2 linked regions of the Drosophila melanogaster genome follow. The protein of the gene in region 2 interacts with the protein of the main gene of each other region in a pairwise test. Each region holds a gene or a part of one and is shown on either strand. Other genes may lie near its edges. The genes, in order: CG14419 and Cpr78Cc.

Region 1 (3,274 bases), on a different chromosome or scaffold from region 2:
CTGGGTAATTGTCTAGTGCTTGAATGGTTATGGAACTTTCGAGTTCCTGGAATTTCTATCTGGGGGGATCAGATATCCAAACTTGCAAGTTCCCTAATGAGGGGCAGCAGCTGAATTCAGAGTATGTAATGTGAGGAAAATTATAGGCTTTGATTCCGAGTTGAAGCTTAATATGCACTAAGCGTGATACTAAAACCTGTTACCAATTTTCAATTTTAAATCACAATATAAGCATATATCAAGCGAAGCCATTTAACAGAAGGCCTTTAATTATATGTGCAGTAGTTTGTTTGTTGAGCTTAAGCAAGCCGTATAAATATAAATTCAGCTAATGAATAACAAATAGCCGAAAATGCTAATGGAGTAGATCAAAAATCAAAAAAAAGAATAAAACAAATTATAATTATAATAAGTAATAAATAAAGGAATATGTATATACCAGATGGCGACGAGACTCCGCGCAGCGGTTTCACACGCAATTAACATATTCTCTCTGTTGCATTTAAATTGCTGCATATGGATTACTGTTGCACTGTTGTCAATTCAGCTCTTTTCCCGTCATACTTGTACATTTTTTAATTCATATTGCGAAAAACTTGGACTTTTCTGCCATTTTACAATCCCGTAGCCACTTGGAGAAAAATGGGCAACACTGATTACGCTGTGCTTGCTGACCCTCATCCATCGAAGGCCACTCAGGTCCAAACCACCATGCACCACCCACAACCCATCGACCATCAACGCCCACTTTCGCTCCTTTGGCGGGTCCTTTGTTAATTACTTTTTTTTTCGCAGTGCGTTTTTTATTCAATTACTTGTACAAATTGCAAACAGACAAAAATAATATGGCGAGCAAAAAAAAAAAAAAACGAGCAAGTAATCGGCTACGTTATATCAGGTATCAGGTGTGCGGATAAATGTTGCAATTTGTATGATAGCCCGCGACCTCTGACTTCGTTTCCACTCCCCTTTCTCGCCACCAACCGTTCCCATAACTCCAGGCGTCACTTTGCAGTCGCATTAAACAATTAACAAGTGTAATTGATAAACAATTAGCGGCATTATGAGCCAGCCGCAATGCGAAAAAAATGCATACTCAAATGTGCAAACGTATAAACAAAGGAAACTCGATGCTCAAACCAAGAAAACAAATTCCCATCGAAGTGTACTCCAGACTCTAGAAAATCATTAAGCATACAGAATACAATCAATAAAATAATATTAAACGCCCTAGGCCAAACCAAAACCTGTTTAATAACAAGCATCGAAATGTCCAAAGCATTATTTTTGATAAGCGTGAGTAAGGGTATCTATCGCATGTGAAGCCCATATGATACACAAGTACAATTAATGCTTGATAAGGCGAGAATAATTTGTTAATAAATCCAGCAGCCAATTCTCAGAAAGCGCTAATGACCAACGAAAACTACACGAAAAAATGTTTATATTGGCATTACTTTTGGTCAGCGTCTCGGTACATAAACATATGCATAAATACATATGTATATATTAGTTGTATACCCTTCACAAAATTGGTCTTATGTCTACGAATCGATGGGAATGAATAATATGGATGGATAGTATCTTGAAACAATTATATGATAGTTTACAACTAGCTGTATATACTACGATTATTATTTTAAAATTTAACTACTAGTACATTAATATAAAGTAAAACGTATTAAATACCATAGCATTAATTTGAAAGATTTTCAAAATATCTATGGACTCGGTAACTTGAAAAGTTGGGTATCACCAAAAAACCCCCGAAAACTACAGAATTGCTTTAAAAAATTTCAATGTATAATGACAATTTATAGACGTTTTTCTATCGGCCAACCAAAAAAAAAAAACCAGTCGTACCGTCTACGCCCATCTTATGCAAGGGGGGGCGGGGGGGTAGAGGGGCTGGGGCAACAAAAACGCGCTAAGTGCCGTCTATATAAACAAACGCCAGGCGATGATCTCCATTTAGTTGTCTAGTCGAGGGAAACCAAATCAGACGAGAATGCGCGCTTCCATACTGTTTTTCGGCCTGCTGCTGGTGGCCAGCTGCTCCACGATTTTGGCCAGGCCACAGGAGAGCACTACGCCGAGCACCACCACCTCAACCACCACCACCACGACGACTCCGAAGCCTAAAGAGTCGTCTACAACCACTACGACTACGACGACGACAACGGAAAAGCCCAAGTCAGAGTCCACAACTGCCAGTACGACTACCACAAGCACCACCCCGAGCACCACCACCAGCACCACTCCCAGCACCACTCCCAGCACCACTCCCAGCACCACCCCGAGCACCACCACAACCACTACTACGACCACCACTCCAAAGCCCGATGATGATGAGGCCGCCAAGCTGCTGCAACAATGTGCCGAGTTGAGCCGCCGGAAGAAGCGGGGTGGATCTTCCTCGTCCGAAGAGGACGACAGTGGCGAGAAGAAATCGGCAAAGAAGGAGCGCAAGCAGTTGAAGAAACTGTGCAAGCAGTTGAAGAAGCAGCAGGAGCGCAAGCAGGAGAAGGCCCAGAAATCGGCACTATCGGAACTGGCCGAGGCCTTGAAAAACTACAACCAAAAGCAGAAGAACTAATGTGCCAATAAATCTTTTTTTTTACATTTTTTTTCTTTGTTTTTAGTGTACTTTATAATATTTATCAAAAAGTATGCCAATAAAATGGATCTTTAAATAAAAAGCACACGTTCTTGCTTCATTTTTATAATATCAAAATGTAAATTTAAATGCTATACTATTCTCTGATTAAGAACAGTTTCCTTAAAAAAAGTAAGGAAGTAGTTAGCATAGTATTATCCACCTCGATTCGACTAAAAGCGTACCTTATGTTTTGTACTAGACTAATGAACCCATATGCTGTATAAAACAAACAAAAATATGCGCTGATACAAAAGTATTCATTTTTGTCGTAGATTTTTGAATATGGATTTAAACATGAAATGAGCACGTGAAAAACCGACGCGGCAGCTTTCTGAATGAAATCGAATAAATCTAATCAAATTTGTTTAGATTTTCCCTTTTTTATCGTTTCTATTCCAACGAGTAAAGCAACGAAATAGTAGAAAGTACAAACAAATTTGATTTGTAATCGATTTTAGCTTTATTTGCCTGTACATTAGCACTGCATACGTCAAAATAAATCGTTGAAAACGGGAAAAGTTTTTTTTTTTTATTCATATTTTGCGGAAGGAGAAAGTCAATTTTTCGTAGCATAAATTACATATATACATATGCATATCTGTGTATGCTTTTGCT
Region 2 (3,002 bases):
CCTGTTCCCGAAATCCCAGCCGTCTGTTACATCATTCTCTAGACTCTTTCTTGGCAACATGATCGTTTTCAATTGTCGGTGTCCACGCTGGAGGTCAGTCTCGGTTGGATTTACATGGAAATGATTGTTTACTGGATATATATTTTTTAAAAATAACTGAGCTGAGGCAACAGGGAAAAAAGCCAAGTGAGTTGATGACCATGCCAGCTTCCACATTTGTCTGTGCTCATGTTCGTCTGGTGTTGCTTATGCTGAATTTTTTCTTTTGCCTTGGTTAGTTCCTGGGTCTGGTTTGCAGTGTGATAAATGATTTTGGACAGCAGTTTAATTTGTCTTAATATGGTAACACATTTCAAACACAAGATTATTGATTTAATTATGAAAAGCATTTGGAAACAGTATGTGCTAATGTTCCTGACTCAGATTCAAGATTGATGAATGAATGAACCGATATTGGAGGCGTACTTTAAAACGTTATGAAAAATCAGGTTAAAATAAAGTATTTTGACACAATCTGACATCTATTTCAAGTTCCTTCATTTGCATCTGTGATTAAATAACCTTACCCCAAAAGAAATATCAGCTCAAAAGTGTGACCTTCCAAAAACAACTAAGATATTATAATATAATTTGTATGCAATTTGGGGTTAAAAATTATGGATTCAAAAACAGACGCTGGGAAGTTTAAGTTTGCAATTTGGTACAGCTAGTTTTTGCCGATTTGTATAATGAAAACATACTTGACTCTGTTCAAATGATCAGCATGGCTGTGGGTATATTTGATGTAACTATTTATGTTTTTATTTTTTGGGGGATTTATGTACAGACTTTCTAGAACTAGATATAACTCATGTTTAGCAAAAGCACTGACTAGGCTTTGAATGGGGTATCCAATCGGGGATTTAGGGCTGTGGAGGGTGGGCGGCGATGTATTCCAGGGCGCGGAGGATGGCCTCCGGGATTGGGGGAGCGGTGGGAAGGTGATCGCCCTGAGGCTGGAAGCCGTTTTCATCGGCGACGTAGGTCAGTGAGATGGGGACGCCTTCGGGGGAGATGTAAGAGCTGCTTCCGCTAATGCCATTGACGTTTCCGGCCTCCTGGGCCTGAATACCATTGCTGGTCTCGAAGGCGTATTGGTAGTTGCCCTCGGCGTCGGCAGGATTAACATCCTCGCGGGTGATCACGGCATCCTTGTTTATGTTGTCCGCATACACATTGGCCAGCATCAGAGCGGCGAGCAGGCAGAGCGACTGAAATGGTTACACACGTTCACGTTCTGATTTTGAATCCGGATCCTTCCGGGCGGCTAAGTCTACTCACTAGCTTAAACATCTTGCTGGTTTCTTGGCTTGTATAATCCTCACTGGTTGGGTGATCTTCGCAGGCGGTGGCTTTTATAGGCAGCCAACGGCAACGCCGACTTTGGCGTTGGCGTCGCCATCGCTGACGTCTCTAATCTGGCTCTGAACTCCAAACGCCGCTCCAAACTAAATATCAAACTTAATACGTTTGTCGTTTTTTTTTTTCGGCAGCAGCATACCGATCGAATTGAATAAAATTCAGCTCAGCAGCTAGTAAAAAAATGGAAAGGAGATCTGAATTTCAGCACCGCAGTGCGAAATACCCTTGCCAGATATTGCTAAGTTTACCTAGAAATCATAGGCATTTGGCTTAGCTTAGTTTAATTATCTGCCTAGCAATTTTCGTCTTAATCGGAAACTATTTTCTTTTTGATTAATCGGGCTTGTGGGCTCACTTCTTTGAGAGCTATTATTTCGTTTTTTTTTTCTTATAGAAGAACAAACAAGGGATTATAGTTTTAAATTTTCCTTAAATAAAGCACAAATTAGCATGCATGGTCATTTAAAATTAAGTGTATTGTGGTAATTCTGTAGAAGTTGGGTAATTCAATGACTAAACTGGCTTGTGTCTTCTTTTTTCAATATAAGACTTTGAACTACACGGCCTCTAAAAGGGGTGTGGCTTATGATACTTATCTTGAAACATTTGCATTTCGAAAACAAATTCAAATATTTATACAATATACTTATCTTACCAATCTCAAAAAAGCAAACCTCTGATCCAAATAATATCAGCCTTAGCTAGAGTATAATGAAGCACCTGAACCCATTCCAAGTGGTTTCTGCCGATGGATCAACACGCTTCTGCCTTGGTAGCGGTAATCATTTGACTTTGCACTTAATGGCCAATAGTAGTTTTGGTTAGCTTTTGGGGGCTTGGAGTTATGTCGACGGTAATGGAACATGTGACTGTGACATTCGCCCGTGGATGGTAAGTTTAGAGATGGACCTGGATTTGGATTTGGATTTGGAAGGGGGCAGCAGCTCGTGGCGAGCTAATTTAATTCCATCCAATCCAATTTATCATTCGTTTCGATTTCATTATCATTGGCCATTTGGCTTGCTATGAGCGCAGGCGGACAACCTGTTTGCTCATCAAGGAATTCTTAAATTCCCCAAAAAAAAAAAACAGCAAGTTCAGCTTATTAGCATACAAATTCGCTGTCCAGTAATAAATTGTATTCTAGGCCTATTCGCACTTAGCACTCCGCCTAATAAAATGCCCATCAATCGACGCTCCACCCGATCTGGCAAACTAGTTCAGCCGGCCCACCAGCATCCAAGCCCTATCCGAAATCTATGACGTATTGGACAGATGGCTACATTCTCTCAAATCTGAATTGCTAAATTATTAAAATTCAAATACACAAATTCTCAGATCATTTCGACGTCTGCTTACCGAATATCACGAGATATTAAACAGCATTTCTATAACGGTTTTAAGCAACTTTTTGATCTATATTTGCATTTGTATTTTTATTTTTATAAACTTAAATACAAATTAGACTCGTTGAAATAAATCTGGTTTCCAATTATGGCAGAACTGCACAGACACACACACACACTCTCAATCATTCTATGTCAGTGCAAAGTTTCGGTATAGAAGCCGTACTTATCCACGTGATAAAACACCCGTATGTA

Evidence for each region.
Region 1: the proteins of Cpr78Cc (region 2) and CG14419 interact in a two-hybrid assay, tested with the Drosophila melanogaster proteins (one large-scale study listed by BioGRID).

The regions. Positions count from the first base shown.
Region 1 is NC_004354.4:2,884,606-2,887,879, reverse strand, and holds CG14419 (uncharacterized protein), read left to right. Parts: upstream 1-1,965; 5' UTR 1,966-2,008; coding exon 2,009-2,596; 3' UTR 2,597-2,694; downstream 2,695-3,274.
Region 2 is NT_037436.4:21,298,951-21,301,952, reverse strand, and holds Cpr78Cc (cuticular protein 78Cc), read right to left. Parts: upstream 1,374-3,002; 5' UTR 1,333-1,373; coding exon 1,321-1,332; intron 1,251-1,320; coding exon 903-1,250; 3' UTR 782-902; downstream 1-781. Other genes in the region: CG43702 (uncharacterized protein), read right to left, coding at 2,943-3,002.